Macaca mulatta: one gene and its partners. The main gene of each other region encodes a partner of the protein of the gene in region 3 in a complex. Links are inferred from orthologs where the notes say so. Each region holds a gene or a part of one and is shown on either strand. Other genes may lie near its edges.

What was found.
Region 1: the proteins of PPP1CC (region 3) and CDCA2 are in contact, whole or in part, in a crystal structure (PDB 5INB), measured with the Homo sapiens proteins. The link is inferred for Macaca mulatta from reciprocal best matches to the Homo sapiens genes PPP1CC and CDCA2. Residues at the interface, in NP_002701.1 of Homo sapiens: Arg20, Gly21, Ser22, Pro24, Lys60, Tyr70, Asp71, Leu73, Arg74, Glu77, Tyr78, Asp166, Lys168, Ile169, Asp242, Leu243, Tyr255, Phe257, Arg261, Pro270, Asn271, Ser284, Asp286, Glu287, Thr288, Leu289, Met290, Cys291, Ser292, Phe293; in NP_689775.2 of Homo sapiens: Lys391, Arg392, Val393, Thr394, Phe395, Gly396, Asp398, Leu399, Ser400, Pro401, Glu402, Val403, Phe404, Asp405, Glu406, Ser407, Leu408, Pro409, Ala410, Asn411, Pro413, Leu414, Gly417, Gly418, Thr419, Pro420, Val421, Cys422.
Region 2: the proteins of PPP1CC (region 3) and MRAS are in contact, whole or in part, in a cryo-EM structure (PDB 7SD0), measured with the Homo sapiens proteins. The link is inferred for Macaca mulatta from reciprocal best matches to the Homo sapiens genes PPP1CC and MRAS. Residues at the interface, in NP_002701.1 of Homo sapiens: Pro178, Asp179, Gln181, Gln185, Arg188, Ile189, Met190, Thr193, Asp194, Pro196, Gln198, Leu201, Trp216; in NP_001078518.1 of Homo sapiens: Ala5, Ile31, Gln35, Lys36, Ile37, Val39, Asp41, Glu47, Asp48, Ser49, Leu51, Lys52, His53.

The regions. Positions count from the first base shown.
Region 1 is NC_133413.1:27,225,985-27,229,492, reverse strand, and holds part of CDCA2 (cell division cycle-associated protein 2), read right to left. Parts: intron 2,218-3,508; coding exon 2,006-2,217; intron 1-2,005. UniProt on the Homo sapiens protein: Regulator of chromosome structure during mitosis required for condensin-depleted chromosomes to retain their compact architecture through anaphase.
Region 2 is NC_133407.1:41,369,386-41,373,477, reverse strand, and holds the start of MRAS (ras-related protein M-Ras), read right to left. Parts: upstream 2,801-4,092; 5' UTR 2,783-2,800; coding exon 2,590-2,782; intron 1-2,589. UniProt on the Homo sapiens protein: Signal transducer in the Ras-MAPK signaling pathway that regulates cell proliferation and survival. Core component of the SHOC2-MRAS-PP1c (SMP) holophosphatase complex that regulates the MAPK pathway activation.
Region 3 is NC_133416.1:117,922,746-117,926,922, forward strand, and holds the start of PPP1CC (serine/threonine-protein phosphatase PP1-gamma catalytic subunit), read right to left. Parts: upstream 2,802-4,177; 5' UTR 2,719-2,801; coding exon 2,664-2,718; intron 1-2,663. UniProt on the Homo sapiens protein: Protein phosphatase that associates with over 200 regulatory proteins to form highly specific holoenzymes which dephosphorylate hundreds of biological targets.

The DNA of each region.
Region 1 (3,508 bases), on a different chromosome or scaffold from region 3:
ATATTGTAAGCCCCATAGAAAAAGACAGAACAAGCCTAAACACAGGGCCCCTGGAGCTCAGCAGGAGACAGCCAGGCCTACAGACTGGATCAAAGTTCCCTCTTAATCACCACCTACTCGTCTAGCCTCAACCTAAACCTCTGACCAGTCCTTGTTATCAAGAATTCCTCATTTTCTCCTGTACATCCAATTCTAAGAACAGTACCTGCTCTAAGAAATAATCTTGCCCCAAATAAACCTCCTTCATCTGTCTCTCAAGTCAGTTCATTTTTCTGACCAGGAAAATGCACATACCAAATACTGCAAAATAAGTTAACTTATACAACAAAGCTCATGTTTACTTTTAGATTTATTTTTAACTAAAACAATCAGAAAAGTCAGCAAACAACTCACAATTTATATGCCTCCCAATTTTTGCCATCTTAGTATAAAGATCATTAGTTGTAAATGTTTTGTTTTCCTTTTTTTTTGAGACGGAGTCTCACTCTGTTGCCCAGGCTGGAGTGCAGTGGCCCAATCTTGGCTCACTGCAAGCTCTGCCTCCCAGGTTCAAGCCATTCTCCTGCCCCAGCCTCTTGAGTAGCTGGGACTACAGGCGCCTGCCACCACGCCTGGCTAATTTTTTGTATTTTTAGTAGAGACAGGGTTTCACTGTGTCAGCCAGGACGGTCTCTATCTCCTGATCTCGTGATCCACCTGCCTTGGCCTCCCAAAGTGCTGGGATTACAGGCGTGAGACACTACGTCCGGCCAGTTGTGTTTTCATATGATTCTAATGACAAAACTTAATACTTGCTGTGTCATATTGTTATAAAATAAGAGTTCCACGGATCATTCAGATGTTGTCTTTTTGAGGAGAAGATATGAACAAACAGCGCTGTGTGTATTACAGATCCAAACCAGCTTTTTTTTTTGGCCCAGACTGGTCTCAAACTCCTGGGCTCAAGCGATCCTTCAGTCTTGGCCTTCCAAAGTCAGGGGATTACAGGTGTGAGCTATTGTACCTGGCCACAAATCAGCTCTTTAACCAAAATTATTAAAGCTTTATAAATAGCAACTGACCATCAATGATCCACGTAAATAGAAGGTAATTTAGTTCCTTTTGGCTTCAGAACAGATCAGAATAGGCTTGTAGGCATACTTGTATGTTAAAATGTTTATCGTTTGAAAAAAAGATTTGTATTTCTGAGGTGCCAGACACTCGTGGTGATTTTATAGTATCCCATTTAATGCTCAAATTACTCGAAAAGTAGTTACTAACTTTACATTTTTATAGATAAGGAAACCAGGCACAGAAAGGTCAAATAATTTGCTCAGTGACTACGTTTCCAAGTCAAGATCTGAAACTTGGCATTTTGACTCCTGAGGCTATGCTCTCAACCTCTCATGGACTGACAGCCTGTCACGGATTTTAACAGCAGACTTATCTGGGTTCACTTAACAACCTACAAGCCTAAGTGTATGTCAAACAGGTCCTATACCTTTCTGGGAGCACTACTGCTGTATATATATGCCAGAACTATCAATAGAAACTACTCAATAAATGCCAGCTAGTTCCTATCAACTTCCTCTTTCCTCACATTGAGTGGGCTTAGAGAAAAAAGGATGGCTATAAGAGGTACTTTTAAGACCAAATATTTTGGGAGGAATAATCAGTTTAACAGACTGACACATTAATTATGATTAAGTAATCAATATCACTTATATAATTATATAAATCAATAATGTTAGTGCAATAAGATTATGTAAGATTATGACCCTTTATAAACTACAGTCTACTTATATTAAATTCTGCATACTATACACTATATTTAATTTTTAAAAAATAAGAACAAAAAGAAACTACACAGTGTTGTCAATAAGAAAAGATAAGGAAAAAAATTCACAATAAGACAGGTAAGACATTTTCTTTTAAACTAGTATGAAATATGACATTTCAAGGGTATTACTTTGAACGAAAATGCATTTTTATTCATTTGCTTTAGGAAATTTAACTCTCTTCTTACCTGTAAGCTCTCTAGACACATCTTAACAGAGGGTTTCTTCAGTACAGAACGAAGTACAAAGGTCTTAGGGGTGGAAAGGTCCCTCCTGCCCGCTGGAGTAGCTGGTGACCTGACATCAGGGACTGCGTCTGAGCTCACTTCTGCTGTGAACATGTCAGGCGAAACGGCATCGCTTGATCCTTTGCCCACTACACAGTCAGCAACCTTCAGTGCTTCAAGATAAACATGTAAACTTGAGAGGTGGAAGATCTCTTAAATCTGTTTGTTCTAGACCAAAAATATATTGTGTATTTGCAAAGATAATAACGTGCTATGAAGAAATTCAAACCTAATATAACCTGATTAGGCAGTAACGTCTGGGATTTCATTTGGAAAGAAAAAAGGAGGTAAAGAAGCAGCATTGGTCAGTTTTTACCTCAAATATGACTATGAAGGGTAAAGTGGGTATGGGGATTTGGCTCCCCAGGAAATCTCTGAGTCAGAGTTTGAAAGAAGGTATCATGAATCAGCTATAAGCTATTAGTGTGCTTCTACTCATGACACCTACTACTTGGACCATAAAAACTAATCTGAGCCAAGCACTGACTAATAAGCAATTTTATTGCTAGAGTCACAGGCATGTCAACATTCGAGGGTGGCAGGAACGAGAAGAGAAAGATCATCACACCAAACTACAAACACACTGCATGTGCCCCAAATAGGCATGGCTTTTCTTCCCAAATTCTTCCCACAGGAGAACGTTGCCTTATGATTAAGTGATCCATTTAAGAAATACACGATGTGGCAGGCACTCCTCTGGGTGCTGAAGAAGTAAAGACGAGCACACTCCATCAACCAGCACGGAATAAGCAGGGATTATAATATCTCACAGCAGGAAGGAGGGAGAGGGAAGGAGTGGTGGCTATGAAGAGTAACATGAGGATCCTCAGGACAGAACCGCACGCTGTGGCTTGGCTGCAGTGCTCACATGAATCCACACGTGATAAAACCACATGGACTAAACATACACAAAAGTGTGTGCATGTAAAACTGGTGAAATCTGAAAACAAGTTGGTGGATTGTAGCAATGTCCATTTCCTGGTTGTGATATTAATATATTGTAGCTATGCAACATGTCACTACTGGGGGAGACTAGGTGAAGGGAATACTGGATTTCTTTATATTATTTCTTACAACTAGATAACAAATTTAGTTATTTCAAATAAAAAGCTAAATATATATATATATATACACACACACAACAAGTAGTTAATATATGCTATTAAAGAAAATAATGTAGCAAGAGAGGAATACAGTATGATAAGCTGGAAGGAAGTGCTACTGCTTTGGGTAAACAGAGAGCTCCTGAGCAGACACCTGAATAGAACGAGGTGAACCACACACAGATTTAGGAATGGACACTATGCACACAAAGCCAAGTGCAAAGACCTGAGGTAAAGATGTACCTGGCATAGCAGAGGCCCAGCAAGGCTGCTGTGGCTGGAACAGGGGGCATGGACAAGA
Region 2 (4,092 bases), on a different chromosome or scaffold from region 3:
CAGATGCAGGTATAAATCTGACAAAACACGTAGAAGACCTATGCACTCAAAACTACAAATAAGCTGGGGCACGGTGGCTCACGCCTGTAATCCCAGCACTTTGCGAGGCTGAGGTGGGTGGATCATGAGGTCAGAAGATCGAGACCATCCTGGCCAACATGGCGAAAGCCCATCTCTACTAAAAATACAAAAAAAATTAGCTGGGTGTGGTGATGCGTGCCTGTAATCCCAGCTACTTGGGAGGCTGAGGCAGGAGAATTGCTTGAACCCAGGAGGCAGAGGTTGCAGTGATCCGAGATTGCACCATTGCACTCCACTAGCCTGGTGATAGTGAGACTCTGTCTCAAAAAAAACCAAAAAACCAAGACAAAAAAAACCTACAAATAAAATTGACAAGAGAAATTAAAGAAGACCTAAATAAATAAATAAACAAATGGAAAGAGATACTGTGTTCATGGGTTGGAAGCCTCAACATTGTTAAAATATCAATTCTCCTCAAACAGATCTACAGATTCAACACAATCCCAATCAAAATCTAGGGTTTTAGAATTTAACTGATTCTAAAACTCACACAGAAATACCTTAGGACCTAGACTAGTCAAAATAACTTTGAAAAAGAACAAAGTTGGAGATGTAATGCTACCTGATTTCAAGCATCTCCTAGAGGGTGTGTTAAAACACGGGCTGAGGCCGGGCGCGGTGGCTCAAGCCTGTAATCCCAGCACTTTGGGAGGCCGAGACGGGTGGATCACGAGGTCAGGAGATCGAGACCATCCTGGCTAACACGGTGAAACCCCGTCTCTACTAAAAAATATAAAAAAAAAACTAGCTGGGCGAGGTGGCGGGCGCCTGTGGTCCCAGCTACTCGGGAGGCTGAGGCAGGAGAATGGCGTGAACCCGGGAGGCGGAGCTTGCAGTGAGCTGAGATCTGGCCACTGCACCCCAGCCTGGGCGACAAAGCGAGACTCTGTCTCAACAACAACAACAACAACAACAACAAAAAAAATTTACAATAGCATCAATACAGATGCAGGTATAAATCTGACAAAACACGTAGAAGACCTATGCACTCAAAACTACAAATAAGCTGGGGCACGGTGGCTCACGCCTGTAATCCCAGCACTTTGCGAGGCTGAGGTGGGTGGATCATGAGGTCAGAAGATCGAGACCATCCTGGCCAACATGGCGAAAGCCCATCTCTACTAAAAATACAAAAAAAATTAGCTGGGTGTGGTGATGCGTGCCTGTAATCCCAGCTACTTGGGAGGCTGAGGCAGGAGAATTGCTTGAACCCAGGAGGCAGAGGTTGCAGTGATCCGAGATTGCACCATTGCACTCCACTAGCCTGGTGATAGTGAGACTCTGTCTCAAAAAAAACCAAAAAACCAAGACAAAAAAAACCTACAAATAAAATTGACAAGAGAAATTAAAGAAGACCTAAATAAATAAATAAACAAATGGAAAGAGATACTGTGTTCATGGGTTGGAAGCCTCAACATTGTTAAAATATCAATTCTCCTCAAACAGATCTACAGATTCAACACAATCCCAATCAAAATCTAGGGTTTTAGAATTTAACTGATTCTAAAACTCACACAGAAATACCTTAGGACCTAGACTAGTCAAAATAACTTTGAAAAAGAACAAAGTTGGAGATGTAATGCTACCTGATTTCAAGCATCTCCTAGAGGGTGTGTTAAAACACGGGCTGAGGCCGGGCGCGGTGGCTCAAGCCTGTAATCCCAGCACTTTGGGAGGCCGAGACGGGTGGATCACGAGGTCAGGAGATCGAGACCATCCTGGCTAACACGGTGAAACCCCGTCTCTACTAAAAAATATAAAAAAAAAACTAGCTGGGCGAGGTGGCGGGCGCCTGTGGTCCCAGCTACTCGGGAGGCTGAGGCAGGAGAATGGCGTGAACCCGGGAGGCGGAGCTTGCAGTGAGCCAAGATCCGGCCACTGCACTCCAGCCCCGGCGACAGAGCAAGACTCCGTCTCAAAAAAAAAAAAAAAAAAAAAAAACCACGGGCTGTTGGGCTCACCCTCAGAATTTCCAAATCAGTATGGCCCTGAGAATGTGCATTTCTAATTAGTTTCCTGATGCTGTGGCTGCCGCTGGCCTGGCTGCCACACTTAGAACTAGTAATCCAGACTAATTCACACTCAGCTAGAAACAAAATGTCAGATGCAAGAGATTCCCCCCAAAGGAATATATATACAAGTACCAAGTAAACTATGTTCATTAAGAAACAACGTGCTTTTCCCTCTTTTATTAGCTAAAGACATCCATAACTGTTAATCAGAGATTCTGATCAGCAAGAGAAAACAATCATGTCATTGCTGAGCTGGCATGATTCTAGCCTCCCCTCTTTGTTGAATGCACATTTTGGTTTCCATGAAACCTTGCAAGTCCTCTACGCAGGCCTTCCCTGTTCAGAATTCACCCTGAAAATGACACAGGGCTTTATACCAACCATCCCGTAACAGCAACATTAAGGAAACCACCTTGCCCCGCTGAAACCTGTCAAATGTCCCCGATCCTCCCCATCTACTATCCTACCCAATGCAGGGCTGCCACCCAGGTCTCACCGTCCAAGATGGCCCACTGATTGTCAATCTCTGTATGTTTCAGGTAGGAGTCTTCAATGGTGGGGTCATAGTCAGGCACAAAGATCTTTTGGAAAAACTGGATGGTGAGGGCACTTTTGCCCACGCCCCCATCCCCCACCACCACCAGCTTGTATGTGGGGAGGTTGTCACTGGGGACGGCGCTGGTTGCCATGTTTCTCGAAGGTCAGACCTGCGGAAGGAAGCAAGACGTGTGGAATGAGACAGAGGGCTTTTTAACTTAGGGGAAGATATTCATGTGTCTTCCTCCTTTATAAAGTAAATACTCTCACTTATAAAGAGGTTTGAAAAATGAAGAAATGCAAAAGAAAATAAAAGCATTACACCTGGTCTCACTACCCAGAGACAGTCACTGTTAAAGTGATTTATTCAACCATCATTTATTCAACACCAATTATGTGCCAGGCCCGGTGTTGAGGACACAGTACCACTGGTCTTGTTTAGCAAGTACAGCCAAAAGCCATGTCAAAGAAGCTTTTTGGCCACTAAACTCTACTTGTACAGGTTAACACGAGGGCAGTGGTCTGAGCAGGGCTGGCATGGAGGTTCGTCTTTCACATCCCCTCTTATTAACTGGGTGCTATGCTGAGAAGGATTTGAAGCTGTGTCTTAGCTTAGAAAGCGGGGCATGATAGCTTAGCACACCTGAGTTCTGGGATTCTGAGGCTCCTTCAAAGTTTCAGAGTTCTAGATTCTGGCTCCTTTCTCTCTGCTTCTTGCCCTGTATTATACACAAAGTCATGCTGGAATCTTACGGCTTCTGTTCAACCTCATTTTATTTGGGGAGGAGGCAGGTAGGAGCAGGTCGAAGTTTTGTTTTCATGCTGTTGAGGCCAGCTAAGGCAGTGGTTCTCAATCAGGGGAACTTTGCTCCCCGGGCATATCTGCAACGTCTAGAGATATTTTTTGTTGTTGTCAAAATAGAGTGGGTACCACTGGCATCTGTTCAGCAGAGGCCAGGGATCGTACAATGCACAGGGCAGTCCCCTCCAATGAAGAATCAGCCATCCTAAAATGTCAATAGTGCTGAGGTTGAGGAACCCTGAGCTAAGGTGACCAGGAGGCAGCTGGAAGTGGGACCAGAACTCTAAAGAATAATGGGGCCTTAACAGAAGTGAAGAGTGACCTTTGTAAATAGTGTCCCAAAGTGACAAGGAGGAGAGGCAGGAGGGAGCCTCCTGGAGGTACTCAGAAGGAAAGGAAGGAAACCAGGATCCGTGGTCATGATGGAAGCGAAGAGTTTCCAGAAGGAGGCTGACAGCACCAAATGTTAAACACGGGTGCAGCTAGGGGGATCCCCTAAAGAACAATTTGGGGTTGTAGCCAGGAACCTAAACTGCTAACTAACTGTGGACCCTGCCAGGAAGAAGCAATACCACCTCCTGCTGGGGCATTCCTGGGTGGCACAAAAATGGACCTTGAGTCGAGGGAGGGAAAGCTTGATCCTACTGCTGTGGAGAAGAA
Region 3 (4,177 bases):
TGGGTTGCAGAGGTGATGCCATTACTTACAGAAACATTCAGGAGTTCAGAAAAGAAAAGAACTGCAAAGTTAGTGACTAAGATCTAAACCAACATGCTGTTTTTCTTAAGACTTCACTTTTCAGTTAGCTTTTTAGTACTATTACTGAGCTACTTCTCAACTAGCTTATACTGCTCTCAAGCTTAAAAGATCAATTCTGAACACGTGAAAAAGTCTACCAAGGTCACAAAAGTCATATTGCCTCTACTTTCAGATATACTTACATCTTAAAGCATTTAAGGGGAAAAAAAAAAAAGGTTTTGGGGGCATTACGAAAAGCACAAAATTCAGGCCGGGCATGGTGGCTCATGACTATAACCCCAGAACCCAGGAAGGCCGAGGTGGGAGGACTGCTTGATACCAGGAGTTTGAGAACAGCCTGGGCAACACAGTGAGACTCTCATTTCTATTTTAAATTATTACATTTAATTTTTTTAAAATAAAAAACTTGTAAAGCACAGAATTTATTACCAACATCATTTAACTTAGATATCTACATATCCTCAATGGATCATCTTCAAATGTTTCTCTGCCAATTTAACACCCACGAGAAAAAAGGAAATTTAAGTATACTTTGCAGTTAGCCTATTCCCAAGGCATTAAAATGCACTGCTTTCTTAATTTCAGCAAAAAAAGAAATATAAGAAAACCTGGTTTTCAAGTGCCATATAACAAGAGGAACTATTAAGAAACAATGATCTCATTTTAGATGTATCATTATTTACTAGGCAAACTACTTATTAGGATTGTAATGATTAAAATTAACAAAAGCTATTTATGAATCCAGAGGCAGTTATGGGCAAACCAGAACTTAAATTAGCAAGCCTTAGATGATCTTAAAATTCTAATTTAATTAGATTTAAAATTCTAATGTTTCTAATCCATGCAAATTCCAACTTTTCCTGTTTCCTCAGAGAAATAAAGCCACACATATCCCTGCAGAGATAAGCAGAATTTTAAAATTTAGAAAGAAAATATTTAACAAAAAATTCTTTTCTTACAGCAAACTATTTTAATCAGTTTCTGACCAACTGCTGCCTCAAATAACTATATTAACTAGCATGAAAAAATATGGTTCTTATATAAATACCTGACATTAAAGGAATGACAAGGTTTTCACCTACAACACAAGGTTTTCACCTGCAATAACATTTCAAGAGCATTTCAGGGGTCCTTAATGACATTTAGTGTTTTTTTTAAAGACAGCATAAAAGGAAAGAATGCACAGATTAAGAAAAGGACGAGATATTTTCAGAGTTTCATTTTAATAACTTACTTTAAAAGATCTGCAAATTCTAACACTAGAGCTGTCATGCCCTCGACTCCACCACTCACAGCATTTATAGTCCAGTAATATTTTAGGACTACATAAAGGCAAAAAGCAGTTAAAACTGCCAAGTTCCCATTATGAAGTGTCCAAGTTAAGGGGTATGACTGAATTCTTACAAAGTCTTGGATAAGATGTTAGCATCTGTTGACATGCCCTTGAATCTGAAAGCAGCTCATTTCAGCTTCCGTCTTTAAAAGCTGAACCTCGCCCCTCTCCCACATCAACATGAATCAATTGCCAGGCACCTCACCAGTCTTAGATGAGCCGAAATTTAAACCTTTCTATTAACCTTTACTAAACCACTGGCCCCCTTCCTTCAGTGTTGTCTGTAGCGAGTTTTACTAGCTCCTGGCTATCTGGGTTTGAAACCCAATTCACTAACTGTGTGACCTTGGTTAAGTGACTTCATCTCAGTTTCTTCTGTAAAATAACAAAAACAACAAAAAAAAAGCAAATATCTTGCAATGGGTGGGAGAATATGAAATCTGTGTTAAGTGCTCAAAGAATGCTTGACACACAGTAAGCCCTTTAGAAGCGCCAGTTATGATTATTACAGTAATAATTTCATGGACGCAAAGTGCTCAAGACAGAGCCTGGCACATTGGAAAGATAACGATACCGTCAGCCTTGCTGACTTCCTGTTCAGATGCACGTTCAGGAAAAGAGCGCGGAGACCTCTCCAAGATTAGAATAACTTAAAAGGATTTGGAGGGCAGGCGAAGACAGGTTCTCACACCTCTTGAGACATGAACGCTTGTTACCAAGTAACAAGAAATGGGCCCCCCAAGACCCCAGAACCACGAAAAATAAAAGCAAGCAGGAAAAGAGCCCCCAAACCCGGTGGAACTCACGCCCTCATCAAACTGCCTTCCGTGAGGACGAGCACCGAAAAGTCCATCTCGCACAGTACGGCGCACGCCGTCCAGGAGGCTGGACTGGGGCCCCCAGCCCAACAATCGCTCCAAAGACCCGTCTGGTGTGCGGGGGCAAACGGGTAGAGGCGGGAAACATGGGGGTGGGGAGCGGAGTTTTCAAATTCCACGGCCGGGAGAAAGCCTGCATCCTCGTGCAATGAATGAGTGGAGCCTGGAGGGTCCGCGGCTGGCGACAAGTTGGGGATCCCAGGCTGGCCTCCCTCCAGCTGCAGCCCCCGGCCCGTGGGCCAACTCGAGAAGCTCACTTCCCACGGTGCTGCAAGCCCAACCGGCCTCCCAACTCCCCTCCCTCGAGCCCCCGGGGCCGCCTGCCGCCCTCGGGCCCGCCTCCCCCTTCAGCCGCCCGCCGCCCCCCTTACCTTCCAGCAGCCGTTGGATGATGCTGTCGATGTTGAGTTTGTCTAAATCCGCCATCGCCTTCCCACCGCCGACCCTCCCGCAGCGGCGCCGCCGCCGGCTCGCGCCCGGGACTCACACCTCCTTTCCCACGCCACGAGCAGAGGCGGTGGTGGCGGCGGTGGCAGCAGCCGCGGCGGGTCCCCCCCCTGCCGCCCCGCTCCCTGCTTCCTCCTTCTCTCCCCACTGGAACCACGAGAAGAACAAAATGGCCGCCGACTCCTTAGACAGCCTCGGGCGGCGCACGGATGCACGCGGGGAGTGCAGCGGCCCGGCCGGGACTTCTTTATGGGCCATAGGGCGCGCGGGAGGGGGCGGGGCCCGGGCGCGGGAGGGGGCGGGGCCAGGGCGCGGGGCGGGGCGGAGAGGTTGAGCGCAACTGCGTCCACGCGCGGGATCCTTCCGCCAAACGGGCCGAATAAATAGGCCCGCCCCCGACAGCGGGCCCGAGAGTGAGTTGCAAAGTTGCATGCGGGAGTTGGGGCTGGGGGAGGAAATGCAGCTGTGCATACTGCCGGTTGCGGCCATCGCCGGATCTTGTACGTTGAGGCTAGATGTTTGCAGACCTGGCCATGTGGGAACTCACCGAGGGATTTCGGGGGTCCTGGAATTTACCCTTTAAGATAAATCTGGGGTGAGGATGGAAAAGGAGAATAATAAATAAAAGAAGGTTGACTTATTTTGGATTAAGATATACTGGAACTTGGGAGAAGAGAAAGGTTTATTTGGTAACTAAAAAGAAAAAACCCTCTTCGAGATAAGTCAAAATGTAAGTTACTCTTTGTGAGTGGTGGGTGTATGGGTATTTGTATATATATTTTTTGTGCACTTCTGTAACTTTACTTTGGAGGTAAAAAATCCGTCCATAAAGAAAATTTCATCATTTCTCTCCCTTGGATTTCTCTTTCCTGAACTCGGAAAGTTATATAATCATCGGGACGGTTATCCCGATTCTAGCCAGGGCGAAGTTGAACGAGCGCGTGCAGCAGTTGAAAGGGGAATTTGCAGATTTCACGCGTGCAGGCCAGGGGCGGGAAGAGAAGAGGCAAGCTGTGCGGGCGGTCCTGGGTTCTGCAGATACCCGAAGAAACTTTGGCCCATTCCTCTCTGGCTTCCCAGCCTCCCCGAGTGCACGCCTATCCAAGGGGTCCCCAAACTGTGCCACCTCCAGGGGCTGCGCATCGACTTTGGCCGCGTTTAGAAGTACAGCCCACACTCAGCAAACAGATCGGCTCTCTTTCCTGACCTTTCCATGTATGTTGCTTCCTGCAGCGCTTTACATTTTGCAAAGCCCTGTCTCTCCGAGAAATTCATTTTGTTTCCCAATGAATGCAGGATGCACGAATCCCCATCTCAGTATGCCACGAGGTAATTGCACCACCCAGGCATCCTCTTCCAAAGCAACATCCTCAGGGTGAGGGCTCCATGTCCTCTCAGTTGGGCCCCCTCGCTACTGGTGCAGGGCCCTTGAGTTTAA